Linked DNA regions of Arabidopsis thaliana. The protein of the gene in region 1 interacts with the protein of each later gene in a pairwise test. Each region holds a gene or a part of one and is shown in the gene's direction. Other genes may lie near its edges. The genes, in order: AT4G24090, PIP1;4 and PIP1A.

Region 1 (4,507 bases):
AATTAGAGAAACCAAACAAAATGCAAGACCAACTTAATTCTCTTCTCTTGTAATTCTGGAGCTTAAGTTAGAGATTGGGTGTTGTCATATTAAATTTGTTAATCATACTGATTACTTTCACTCACATTTGTTCTTGTTATTGTTTATGTTAAATCGTCACTCACATTGTATGCACATGTCAGATTCAGACCAATGTTAAAAGTGCATTATTTTGTTTGGAAGCGTGTGAGAAAACAAAAAGTTTATGTACATAACATAAATCCAAAAGTACTACTCGAATAAAGTACAAACTTTATATCTTTTAAACTCCACGTAATAACTCATTTTTGTTTGTTTTAATCAAAAATTCAAACGTCTAAAATTTCGTCTTAAATAAGAAATGATATTAAGAAAAATATCTTTGGATTAATAACAGATCACCGAAAATTAGAATATGGTTTTACCAACCCAATTAAATTCTCAAATTAATTGGAAAGAGAATAATGTTGACAACAACAAAAAGGAAATAAATCGCATGCAATGAAAGGAATGAATCTTCTTCTTCTTCTTCTCTATTAACGCTTCTTCTTCTTCTCCTTCTTCATCACCCTCCTCCACTTCTCTCAGTCACAATGGCGACCAAAAAATCTCTGAAATCACGTCTCCAAGATGGAGAAAAGCTTCTCGGCCACTTTCTTCTCTCCTTTTCTCCGGAGCTTGCAGAGATCGCTGCAAGAGCTGGATTTGACTTCATTGTCGTCTACCTTGAGCACGGTGCCGGCGGGATTCGTGAAGCGCTTCACTGCATTCGAGCAATCGAAGCCGCTGGTTGCTCCACTGTCCTCCGTGTACCCGACATTAGTCAGGCTTGAGCTAAGAAAGCGTTAGATCTCGGACCCGACGGCATTATGTTCCCAATGGTCGAAACCGGAAGATCTGCATCCGAGGCGGTCTCGTTTTGCCTGTATCGTCCTGACGGTGTTCGCGGCTGTGCTTACTCCGTTGTGAGAGACTCCAGCTTCGGATTTAACGAAGGGTATTTGGGTAATTACGCTGATAAGCTCTTCATTATGTGCCAGGTTCGATCCTCAAATCCCCTTTGATTTTCAATTTTATTGGACGAAATTGTTAAATTGAATTCTAAAATGCCTACTTGTGAAAAAAATGGAAGTTAGAATTTTTATGCAATTGATATATTTTGTGCAGATTGAATCAGAGGAAGGTATGAAAAATGTGAAGGAGATCATAGCCGTTGATGGGATGGATTGTGTGATGATGGGGCCGAGAGATCTGAGTGCGAGTTTGGGGTTACTTAACGATCCAGGAAACCCGAAGGTGAAGTCGGTCATGAGGGTGGCTGAGACGGCGGTGTTGGCCTCTGATCCGGCGAATGGTGGAGCTTACTTGGCAGGGATGGCCACGGCTCAGGACAAAACCGGTGATCTCAAGGCACGTGGGTATCACGTGGTGCTCGGGTCAACCGATGTGTCGCTGTACAAGAAGGCTGTGGTTGATGAGGTCAACGCTTTTAAAGCGTAGTGTCGGAATTAGATTAGAGTCTGAATAAAACGGGAATTAGAGTGCTTTGTAATAAGTGATGAGTTTATGTACCCCATGATTATCTTCTACTTTGTTAGTTATGTCTACTACTTTGTTAGTTTTGACTTTTGAGCAAGTCTTGTTAAGATTCGCATTATCCAAAAGAAAATTTAAAGCCGCATTAACAGTGTTTAGCTCTGGTGTTACTAAAGAAAAAGTGATTATGCGGGTCAAACACTTCTCAAATAGTTTGCTTTGATTTCTTTGGAGAACTGAAATGCATGCCGTTTCGAAATATTAGAATGCATGTCGTTTCGTGGATTTCAGTACCAGTAAAGGCTAATGCTGATGCATCGTTGCATTTTAAAAATCGTGTCGTTTTTCATTCCGTTTTAGTGGCCACTCTTCGCAACCAGATAAGAACTCGAAGATTTTCTTTTTCTTTATCAAAATGCAATCTTTATCTCTGCAATCGCTTCCATGGAAACCAAATTCAGTGACTTTACCTGAAATTAATCTTTTGAATCCCAAGCAATTGACTGCCTCGAGTTCTCAGTATCGTAGAACTCGAAACTGGAGAATTAGAAGTTCGTCGGAAGATAATGTAGCAATTTCGAGTGACGGCGGAGATTTGAAGAATTCTCTGTCCGGTATTGTGGGAAATCAAGTGGAGGAGCTATTGAGCAGAGAAGAGAACAAAGGTTTGCTTGATGGTCTGGAAAAAGCTTCGTTGAGAGTGGAGATTGCGAAGAGAGAGCTCGAAGATATAGAGAGACAAGAAATTGAGGCGAAATTGCTACAGGATTATATTAATCAGCTCGAATCAAGAGCCGCAGAGGTGAGAGCTTGTTCTCGAAATGGTGTTAGATATGAAAATGATTGAACATTTGATTCTTTTGCTCTTTGGAATTTGAGGTTTTTGGGAGGTTCTACTATAGAGTATAGATTAAGGTTGCATTGAGAATGATTGGTTTATATTACAATGGACTAGTGAATTTGTGCAGTATATATTTATATGCCAGGATAAGCTCAAGTTGTGCATTGTATGCTTAGGATAGGATAGGTAATTCAAAGTATCAATCAATATCAATGGTGTTGCTTTTGTGCTTGAAACCTGGAAATGGGGTTTCTCTTAGTTTGTGTGAAGGTACTTCATTAGATAAGGTTACTAACTAAATCATGAGTTTGGTTGCATTTTGTGTTTTCTCGTGTTTTGGAACAAAGTCTCTAGTTTGGTTTTGTATTTGTAGACAGAGCATGTTAATCTTATTCAATATCTGATTCAAGATTGCAGAATGCCAGCAGGAGATTGACGCAGCAAGATCAATGGTTGAGGAAGCAGAACGCTCCTTGTCATTAGCAGATAACTCGACAATTGGAAGTTCGGAGAAAGGTTATTCGATTGATAAAGACAAGGAGAGGTTAGAATCTGCAAAAGCGGCAGTGATCGCAGCTGCGGTTGGGACCATTGCGGAACTCCCATTTGCTCTTTCTCAAGTCGCAAGCATGGAGCAGCTTGTTCTGCCCCTGGGAATAGCGTTTGCAAGCTGTGCATTGTTTGGAGTCACATTCAGGTATGCAGTCAGAAGAGACTTGGATGATAATCATCTCAAATCCGGAGCCGTTGCAGCTTTTGGGTTTGTTAAAGGTAACAACACATTTGATTACTGTTTCTATCTAACTTCTTTGAATTGTTCAAAAGCAATTGCGTTTTGTGATTGAATAAGCTTAACAGAAATGGTAAAAGAAAAAGACTTTCTTTGTCTTTGTCATGTTATATATTGTGTGGAAGTATGAGCTGGCAAAGTTCCCATCGTTGTCCCGCCCTTTGGTTGTTTTTAAATTATAATCTGCCAGTAATAGATTACTAATCAACGATTTGATTTATTCTAAATAATTGATGAGTTGATTATTAGTCTCTGACCTGTATTATTTGGATCTGTCTTTTTTTAAAAACAGATTTATTATAGATTCGATTTTTTTTAATGTGTTATATAGGACTTGGTATGTTGAGCAGAGGACCGCCATTGGAGCTGAGCTGGGAAAGCTTGTTTTCACATGGGATAGACGGCGCCGTTTTGGTGTCTCAGAGCGTCTTGATATTTGCGTTTGCGTCCATAGGTTTGGACTTCTGTTTCAAGATGAAGCTCTTAAGACCATTTCCTAGCTCTGACTAGATTGAAGAGCAAATTAAAAATGTAGAAATGAACAAAATCTTCTTTTGAAGACTTTATTTGTTTTTTTTTATATTATTAATTTTGGTCTAAAATGTAAATGTTTCATCCTAGATTTTTATGATCTTTAACTTGTCACAAAAAAAGTTACACCTGATTTTAAAAGCATGATCATAAGGAATATTGAATTTAGAATGATGAATCCATACATAATTCAAATTTTGCTATAAAAAATGAATCAGTTGGGATAATTCTTTCTTTTAACTTTGTATAAAAAGTTATGAGGAATATTTATCTTTGTCAAGTGATGAAGTGATTAGTGACTTGTGAACTTAACCAAAGAGGTAGATGGGGTCAAGGCCATTCCTAGCCATTCATTATTTATAGTAAAGCCACGTGTAATAATCTTAGAAGCTTACAGATATACCACGTCAGCACAAAACAGTTCTTTTGTCTTTCGATCGCTCTCAAATCGCGTTTTGTCGTGGAGGTCAACTGATCAGAAAAATATAGCAAGCAGAAAGTGAAAAACAGCTGAATTATTATTTTTCTATACAAAAAATTAAAAAATTAGTATCCAATTTCAATGGGGTTTCGACTTGTTCTCGAGTAAACTACTAGTCTCTATCTCTCTCAGCTCCAGATTTTGTTTCTTCTTCTTCTGTGTTAAATTCATTTGATTTGTTGTATCTGAAGGCGAAATTACTGGTTTCTGATTTTTGGTGGTATTCAGGGCGGTTTTAAAGCGACGGAAGAAGATGGTGGGAGGAGGAGGAGGTAGTAGTGGTCGTGGTGGTGGTAGTGGTAGTGGTAGT
Region 2 (4,691 bases), about 12 Mb from region 1:
TCTATGAATGTCATATTATAGACATACGTATGCGGCTTTGGTCGGGACCGGCCCAATAAAACAATACACATGTTCAACGGGTTCTTCCACGTGTCAAACTTATGTTGGCTGGACGGTATGTGACTGTGCATTGTGGTTACGTTTCCAAAATGAATACGTAAGAACTTTTCCTAAATTATGTCTTTTGCACAATACTGTAAGTCTGTAACTATGGTACTAAACATTATAATATCGAATTGGAAACATTTACATTTGAGAATTTTAGTGTTTGTTGGCAACGAAGCATGTGAGATCACAGAGAAGCAATACTCATCTCTGAGCTGTTCAAACAGTTTTACATGTCAGCACCCAAATATAGTCACTATATTCAAAAACAAAATTATTTACTTGCATTCAATGCTAGCCTTTTTTATTCGGTCCACAACAAATTATAAATATTTGTATATAAGAAAAATCAGAGACCTGATTTTGTAATGCGTGGCTTGTCAATTTCAAGCAACACAGAAAAAAGCTAACTAAGCAAAAAACAAAAAAAAATAACAAGTGGCTGGTTGATAGAATGTATCTTTCATCAGTACATAACACTGTTTTTTTGTCAACGTAAAACAGATTTTTATAACTTTTGTTTGCCCTCAACTTTTTTCATTACATTTTCTGGAATATCGCATGGTTGAATAATTAAAAGTTAAAAATGATTTTTATGAAGCACGGCATTATACTATATAGTCAGTCCCAACGAAAATGACTTTACATAAAGCTGTCAATTTTTTCTCCAACGGTCAGATAATTGTTTCGTTGAATAGTCAGTTTTTTTTTTACTATTTTACTATTGGGCTTTATTGGGCTCTTACAATTTTATCGATTTTTGTTTACCGTCCAGAAAGTGGACCCTGTGGGAAGAGGAAAAGAAAAAAAAAGGGTCAGGTTTTTTGTCTTTATACGAGAGCACATCGGTACGTTCCAGAACAACCCTCTCTAGTCTCCTCCATCATTATCTTTATTTAATAGTAACCCTAGTACAAATTACCAAACTATTCAACATTAACATAATTATTCAACATTCACCATCATGAATAATAACTAGTTGAGAAAAACGTAACTAGACTAGTTTGATCTGTCAACATAAAAAGAGAAAAAAGAATTTCGTGACTAGTAAAGTTTAAGACCATTCACAAATGATCATTGAAATTATTAGTTCTAAACTCTTAGTTTGGTTATCTATTTGGTTTTGATTCGTATCTATTTGGTTATTCGGTTTTTTGGTTTTAAAGTTTAGTATTCATTCGACTATTTTGAAATTTTGGTTCGTTTTTTTTTTTTTTTTTGAAATTTAATATCCATTCGATTATTTTGCTTTTAATATTTTTAAATATTTCAATTATTTTTTGATATTTTTTGAATATTGTTACTATTTAATATATATTTTTAAATATTTTTAATTACTAAGTATAGAAATAACTAATATTTTTGAAAATAAAATTATATTTTGGATATTTTAGATCATCTAAAATATTTTAGTTAGGTACTAATTCATTTTTGGTTATTTTGATTATAAAATTTAATATCTATTCAACAATTTTTAAATTGTTGATTCAATTCGGTTCTGTTTTTTTTTTTCATTTAGGTTTAGTACATTTGGTTCAGTTTATTTGACTCTCAGTTTATTTGCCTAAGCCTTGAAATTAGGTGTTAACTATTGGTTATTCTAGTTGAAATTTGAAATAAAGAAAAAACTATACGTTATACTATTTTATTTTCTTAGCAATAACTAAAAATAAATGTTTGGAAACGTTAGGCAATTTTATTATATTCTATCGTTGTTCTCTATAAATGAAGTCTCGACCACACACTTGGTAGCTACACACGAGAAAGAAAAAGCTCACAACTTTAACCTTTCTGGAGAGAGAAGAACAAAAGAGGGAGAGGGAGAGAAATGGAAGGCAAAGAAGAAGATGTACGAGTGGGAGCTAACAAGTTCCCGGAGAGGCAACCCATCGGTACATCGGCTCAGTCCACCGACAAGGACTACAAAGAGCCACCTCCTGCGCCACTGTTCGAGCCCGGCGAGCTCAGCTCATGGTCTTTCTACAGAGCCGGAATAGCTGAGTTTATCGCTACTTTCTTGTTTCTCTACATCACTGTTTTGACTGTAATGGGAGTTAAGAGAGCACCAAACATGTGTGCTTCTGTTGGAATCCAAGGTATCGCTTGGGCTTTTGGTGGCATGATCTTTGCTCTTGTCTACTGTACTGCTGGAATTTCAGGTAACCTTCTCTCGATTTTCCCATTTTTCTGTAATCTCTGTTTTGGTGGGTTCTCTGTTTTGGTTCTGCTTTATTTGCTCTGTTTTGTTTCTGAAAACCATTATGTGAGTCCTCTGTTTTTGTTCATGCTCTGTTTGACCTAGAAAATGTAAAGGAACCAAAAACAGTTATAAAGCAGGAAACTTTGGGTTCTTTTGATGCTTGGGCTTATCTAGATCTGTATGTTACACCAATTTTACTGTTGATTTCTCAGATAAAGCTCACATCTTTGTGTAACATGTGTTTGTGTTTGTGTGTTTTTAGGTGGACACATCAACCCTGCTGTAACATTCGGTCTGTTCTTGGCTCGGAAGTTATCTCTGACCAGAGCAGTGTTCTACATGATTATGCAATGTCTTGGAGCCATCTGTGGTGCCGGAGTCGTCAAAGGTTTCCAGCCAACGCCGTACCAGACTCTCGGTGGTGGTGCTAACACCGTTGCTCATGGCTACACCAAAGGTTCTGGCCTTGGTGCTGAAATCATCGGAACATTCGTTCTCGTCTACACTGTCTTCTCCGCCACCGACGCCAAGAGAAGCGCCCGTGACTCACACGTCCCGGTATGGACCCCTCTCTTAGTTCCGGTTTGCTGATTTTATTGCTTTAATTAGACTACTAACCGATCGAATTTCCCCGGTTTTATTGGTTTAACAGTTTATGACTAATAATTGGTCACTCTCTATTGTAGATTTTGGCGCCGCTCCCAATCGGATTTGCAGTGTTCTTGGTACACTTGGCAACAATACCGATCACCGGGACCGGAATCAACCCAGCTAGAAGTCTTGGAGCCGCAATTATCTACAACAAGGACCACTCTTGGGATGACCATGTGAGTAAACAACTCTAATGAAAAGGACAACTCAAAACGTATTATGATGTTTTCTAATATATTTGAATTTGTAAAATTGTGGTGGTTGTTGCAGTGGATTTTCTGGGTTGGACCATTCATTGGAGCAGCTCTAGCAGCACTATATCACCAGATTGTCATCAGAGCGATTCCTTTCAAGAGCAAGAGTTAGAGACACACAGAAAGATTCCACGGTCCAGAATTTGTTCTTTAGTAGTTTCTTTGCTTATCTATCTAATGTAGCTTGTGTTTTGCAATGTAATGAGCCTTTCAAGAATATGTATTTGGGATTTCTAATCAGCTTTTGTCTATGTAAAAACTATGTGTTTCTTTTTTCTTCCTATACTCGTCTCAGATGCTTTATGGCAAAGGGTCTCTGAAGTCTAAGGTGATTAGTGCTCCGGTTATTGATGTTTTGAATAGTTTGTTCGACGAATATAAAATAAACATAGTCAACCCTCATTCTGTATCAACATCAAGTTCTCGGGTTGGTTTTGAGAGACATGATTATGAAGATGATCATGACTTCGTGAATGTGGGGGTTGAAGGATTGGCCTCTGTTTATGACAAGATGGTGAATGAAGAGCTTGACTATTGTGTACTTGCAAGAAAGTGTTGAAAACACAAGGGCCAATACATTGGAAACAGAATATGATGTGTTTCATACTAGAAGCTCAGTAGTCTTAAGCTTCCGGTTTTATTTGTACTAGCTAGAGATATTCTAGCTATGCAAGTTTCTTCTGTAGCTTCTGATTCTTGTTTTAGCACCAGTGGTCGGATCTTAGAGCCACAGAAAAGTTGCTTAACACATTATATGATTGAGGTCTTGTTGTGTACTGAACAATAGATGATTTAAATAATTTTTGTGATTTTTTTTTATTTTAGTTTCCTAAATTTTAGTAACAAAATCGATTTATAGATTTGATAATAAGTTTGTTAAAACATTTAATGCCAATGGCATTGGGTTGTAAATAAGTTCAAACTCCAGGATTTATTTCATAAAAGTGTTGCAAAAATATATAAGTAGATTCTGTACCGTTTGTAATATGGGTTAGTTTTTGATATTTTTTCTCCGTTATTATTTTGTTTGTTTTCGATATTATTTGTTTTTTTTTACAAATAATTTTGTTTTTTTTATTGCATCATTCTATTATAACCCGATTGACAATAAATAACCAAATTTTTCTTTATCGGTTAAAAAACTTTAAATGATTTATTATTTGTTTATATTTTAGATTGTGCATATATTTCTTTGATTCAGTATTATGTGTTTTAAAAAATTTGAATCATAATATATGCAGAAAAAACAAGAAATTTATTAACCATATATAATTTATAATAATTCAAATAATATAAGTACATAAAATCAAATAAAAGTGAAATGAGAATTATGTATTTATGTTTATTAGGTAGAGAGGTTTTAGAAAATTAGCCCAAACATTTTATATTAGCATTAAATCATCATATTTAATTTTTTATCTACAAAAATTGTAAAGAATATACCATATATAAAAAATTTAGATATAGTAATTATTTTTTAT
Region 3 (4,793 bases), on another chromosome or scaffold:
CAATAACACCAAATCATGGCACGTGGAGCTTACTGATGAAATCACGACAAGCATGCATGTCAGGATAATTTTCAAACTCAAAGATATGACTCCTTCCCTGTAATAATCAAAGACGAGGAAACTTCAGTGATACACCTATCAATATTTTTTAGCCTTGAGCAAAAAGGGCCGAGGAAAAACAACCTGCTTGCTGGTCAGATTGAGCCAAGGAGGTTTATTTGATCCTTCTTTGGTATATTTCTGACCTGAGAAATTTAACATGGCACAATAATCATTTAGAGAAATTATTCATGATAAATCTGAATGAACAATATGGATAATCAAACACTTACTTTTGATGTTGTGAGTCTGAACTTTAAGCTTCAAATCTGATTTAGGATCATTTGGGACAAAGAGCAGCATCACTTCACTCTGAGAACAAAAATTGGAAGATCCTTTGAGAAAAAAACCATTGAGTAAGGAAACAAAAATAGAAATCATATAGTGGCAAAGAGTTAAAGTATTCTTACTAATTCGAGGGATCCAAGAGTTCCTGGATCCTTCACAAAGCTCTTGTATTTGACTCGCTTCTCCATTGATATATGCCCAAGGTTCTAAAGCATGGTAAAATTGGTGGATTAAGTTTGTGAGCCGGAGGAGGTAAGGAGTGTCGACGGCGGAGGAAATATTTGAATCTGGCGGAGGAGAACGGCTAGCGTCGGCAGATCAGACAAAAATAGCTAAATAATTTGGGAATTTTGTTAATTTTAAGTTCGAGAGATAATGAGGTGGTTAGAACCACGTGTACGAGCCGTGATAGCTCATGTCTTGAGATGGTTCAACAGTTCACACCCGAAGTTGATGAGTCTCAAGAGCCACGTGTACGAGCCTTGTTTAACCGGGCCTGCGATCAATAGTAGTGTTGTTAGCTTAAGCCCGTATATGTATGGCCCATTTATTGTCTCGAGCTAAAAGTCGCAACTTTTTTTTATTGTTTTTTTTTAGTTTATTATAGGCAGACGATAACATTTGTCTTATTAATTTCATGTTAGGAGGACATTGGTAATTTTCGCTTGTTTTTTTGTGTTTGGTCAATGAATATTTTTTTTTTTTATGGAGCCGTGACGCAAATGGGGGTGGCTAGGTGGGGCAAATGCAATCATGAATAGCAGCCACAATAAAATTAATAAATTGATCGAGTACATATGTCATAAGATAAATGGTCGGTTTTGGATATGTAAGGCGCCGGCATTAGGTGGTATGACTCCACGTATCTTATCGTCGATGCATTGGACGGCTATTAAATAATCAGTCTCCAACATAAAAATTCCAAAATCACACTTCACACATTCTTTTATCATGTCATGAGGCTTAATGGGTCGGTCTTTTTTTTTAGTGGCTAGTGATTTTAGCTGATGTTTCAACATTTTGGTTTTAAGTGTTTCTATTTTGCAGCTTAAATATACATATAAAAATAATAATTTAAAGATTGAAGGTCCTCAAATCGTGTAAATGTGGATTTTTAGTTTGAGAAAGTATCTCACATGAGCCTTTTTTATCATTAATTACTTAATTACAGTGTCAAAATGATTGATAAGGAGTTGGAAAATACTAGGTGGTAATCAAGATGGCCCTTGGATGCTACAAGAGCGTAGGGCCATAGGGCCCATTCCAGAACAATATAGCAACCACTAAGCATGTTTTTGTTTTCTTTAACATTGTCTTTTCTATTTGGCAATTAGTACACTACTTACGTTTTGTGGTAGGAACAAATAATTTGTAATCTTGGCACAAACCAGTGCTTTGTAACTTTGATGATAGAAAAAATTTATTCACTAGTTCGATAACGATTATCAATCATCATAAATAAAAAAAGTTAGTTTAGACGATCATGAAGAGAGAAAAAACAGAATTATTGGTACTATCTCTTAATTTCCCAACTCTGTAGGTACACTCATTAATCATTATGGAGAATGTCATAGTCATGGTACATAATGAATGTGCATGGTGCTTATGGTACAGATGTTCTTAACTTCTTATCCTGGCTGGCAAACGCCAGATCATCTCAACTGGAGGATCATGTTTTGTTCGTAACAGTTAGTAACTAACCAAATTAGTGACAATCATGAGGGATTATTAAAAACAGACATTGATCTATTTTTGATTAGAAAACATTACTGATAAAACTACAAAAATAGCTGGAATGGAGCATTCAAAACTCTGTCCAAAGTCCAAACGGTTAAATTATCACTGACCCAATCCAATAATTAGATTTATTTAGTAAGTATGATTACTACGAAGATAACATTAACAAAATTTTATGTTATTGTCAATTTGTCATCATCGTCTTTATTTTTTATTTCTCAACTTTCTTTGCATTACATCTTCCAACTATATAATTAACCACTCTACTTTCTCAAATCCCACACTCAGAGAAGAAGAAGAAGAAAAAAAACAGAGCTTTACAATTTCTCTCTACAGAGATCGAAGATATGGAAGGCAAGGAAGAAGACGTTAGAGTTGGAGCTAACAAGTTCCCGGAGAGACAACCAATCGGAACATCAGCTCAGAGTGACAAGGACTACAAGGAACCACCACCAGCTCCGTTTTTCGAACCTGGTGAGCTTTCTTCATGGTCTTTTTGGAGAGCTGGGATCGCTGAGTTCATCGCTACTTTTCTCTTTCTCTACATCACTGTCTTGACTGTTATGGGAGTGAAAAGGTCACCGAACATGTGTGCTTCCGTCGGAATCCAAGGAATCGCTTGGGCTTTCGGTGGTATGATATTTGCCTTAGTCTACTGTACCGCTGGTATCTCCGGTAAGTCACTCTACTTCTCCAAGTATACGCCTTTTTACTGTAATTAGGTTTCCGAGTGTTTGGGTTGTGAAAGAAGACGATAAAGCTATAATCTTGAGAAAATTGTGTTTAGATTTATAGCTTCTTAGCCTGAACTTGTTCCATTTGTATCTGATTCAAGAAATCTCAGAAAGCTACAATCTTGGTGGAATTTGCAGTTTTCTAATATGAATTGTGTCCTTTAGCCTAATCTTGGAATGTATTTTTTTTATATGTAACTCTCAGGTGGACACATCAACCCAGCGGTTACTTTTGGTCTGTTCTTAGCCCGGAAGCTGTCGCTTACTAGAGCTCTGTACTACATAGTGATGCAGTGCTTGGGAGCTATCTGTGGTGCTGGAGTGGTTAAAGGGTTCCAGCCTAAGCAATACCAGGCTCTAGGAGGAGGAGCTAACACTGTGGCTCATGGTTACACCAAGGGAAGTGGTCTTGGAGCTGAGATCATTGGCACATTCGTTCTTGTATACACAGTCTTCTCAGCAACTGACGCCAAGAGAAATGCTCGTGACTCTCATGTCCCTGTAAGTTACCACTCCTTGTAACATATCTGCTAATAGCTTCTTGAAACAATTGAAATGAGTGAACTTTTAAGCTGCCTTTAGTGTGACTCTCATGTCCCCGTAAGTAACCAGTCCATGTAACAATTGCTAGAAACAATTGAAATGAGTGAACTTGAAGCTGCCATTAGTGTGCACTAAAGACTGATTCTCAATATTGGATTTGTTGCTTACCGGCTTGAGTTTTGTAATAATTGTGCAGATTCTTGCACCACTCCCAATCGGGTTTGCGGTTTTCTTGGTTCACTTGGCAACCATCCCAATCACTGGCACAGGCATCAACCCAGCTAGAAGCCTTGGAGCTGCAATCATCTACAACAAAGACCATTCCTGGGATGACCACGTGAGTTTCCACACACTATATACCAAATCGCATTCCAAACTCGGTTTCGAGCATTTTTCCCTGACAATTTCGTTTTTTTTTGTCGTCATTCCAGTGGGTGTTTTGGGTTGGCCCCTTCATTGGAGCTGCACTTGCTGCTCTTTACCATGTGGTTGTCATCAGAGCCATCCCCTTCAAGTCCAGAAGCTAAGTAAAAACAAGACATCAAGTCCTCTGGTTTCTGGCCTTGTCCTTAGTTGCTTCTATAGTTCTATTGTTGATCTACTACATGTATGTGTGCAATGTGTTTATCTATGTGCCCTCTTAATGCAATATTTGTAAACAAGGAAGAAGTTCCAAAGGAGAATTATTTGCAAATTATGATGTTTAACATGTTTATTACAGATCAAAGATGTTTAACATGGATATTGGTAAACGAGAACCTATATAAACCCAAATTAAGATGGTCTATCACCGCTTAACCGGTTAGGTATTGTAATGGTATTTTAAACGTGTCAGTGTCACCAACCTCGCCTAAATCCTAATGGAATTGAGACACAGCCACCAAAAACCATCAGAAAAATGGTTCCATTTGTCAAATACTTTTCAACAAAGCACGAAGATTCCTTGACCGATAGAAAAAAGTAAACTGTATAAGAAAAGAAGTTAAAAATTTACTAGAAACAGGTGTAAGAAGTTGACTGTAAGTTTGATCATTCCACGAGTACGAATAAAACTCTGACAAGAACACTTCACTTACCACAAATCCACAATTACTTTTCTCACATAGTTCCAACAAGCAACTTGTATTATTATATTCTTAACACCAATGGTAATGGATGATGATGCAATGTATTTGTCTCGTTTTCTCATCCATTTATATGATTGCTTTCTTCTCCACCTCACCAATCACTCCTCCTCTAAACTTTTCTTCACTCTCTTGTCTCTTCAAACTTCGGTTACTCCGTTTTAGTCGACAACAATGGCCTCTGTTTCAAGGAGGTTACTGAGGAGAGAGACGATCCCCTGTTTCAGCCACACCGTGAGGAAACTCTTCTCCACCGTTGGATCTCCTT

Evidence for each region.
Region 2: the proteins of AT4G24090 (region 1) and PIP1;4 interact in a two-hybrid assay, tested with the Arabidopsis thaliana proteins (one large-scale study listed by BioGRID).
Region 3: the proteins of AT4G24090 (region 1) and PIP1A interact in a two-hybrid assay, tested with the Arabidopsis thaliana proteins (one large-scale study listed by BioGRID).

What each region holds. Positions count from the first base shown.
Region 1 is NC_003075.7:12,510,773-12,515,279, forward strand, and holds AT4G24090 (homer protein), read left to right. Parts: upstream 1-1,892; 5' UTR 1,893-1,969; coding exon 1,970-2,356; intron 2,357-2,805; coding exon 2,806-3,166; intron 3,167-3,516; coding exon 3,517-3,695; 3' UTR 3,696-3,885; downstream 3,886-4,507. Other genes in the region: ALL1 (aldolase like), read left to right, coding at 612-768, 853-1,058, 1,186-1,518; AT4G24100 (Protein kinase superfamily protein), read left to right, coding at 4,279-4,301, 4,426-4,507.
Region 2 is NC_003075.7:184,774-189,464, reverse strand, and holds PIP1;4 (plasma membrane intrinsic protein 1;4), read left to right. Parts: upstream 1-1,784; 5' UTR 1,785-1,933; coding exon 1,934-2,264; intron 2,265-2,567; coding exon 2,568-2,863; coding exon of another isoform or gene 2,864-2,896; exon of another isoform or gene 2,897-2,991; coding exon 2,992-3,132; intron 3,133-3,226; coding exon 3,227-3,322; 3' UTR 3,323-4,180; downstream 4,181-4,691. UniProt on the Arabidopsis thaliana protein: Aquaporins facilitate the transport of water and small neutral solutes across cell membranes.
Region 3 is NC_003074.8:22,731,186-22,735,978, forward strand, and holds PIP1A (plasma membrane intrinsic protein 1A), read left to right. Parts: upstream 1-2,057; 5' UTR 2,058-2,471; coding exon 2,472-2,799; intron 2,800-3,063; coding exon 3,064-3,359; intron 3,360-3,597; coding exon 3,598-3,738; intron 3,739-3,832; coding exon 3,833-3,928; 3' UTR 3,929-4,209; downstream 4,210-4,793. Other genes in the region: AT3G61420 (BSD domain (BTF2-like transcription factors, Synapse-associated proteins and DOS2-like proteins)), read right to left, coding at 34-97, 184-245, 333-411, 510-575; CYSC1 (cysteine synthase C1), read left to right, coding at 4,700-4,793. UniProt on the Arabidopsis thaliana protein: Water channel required to facilitate the transport of water across cell membrane. Its function is impaired by Hg(2+).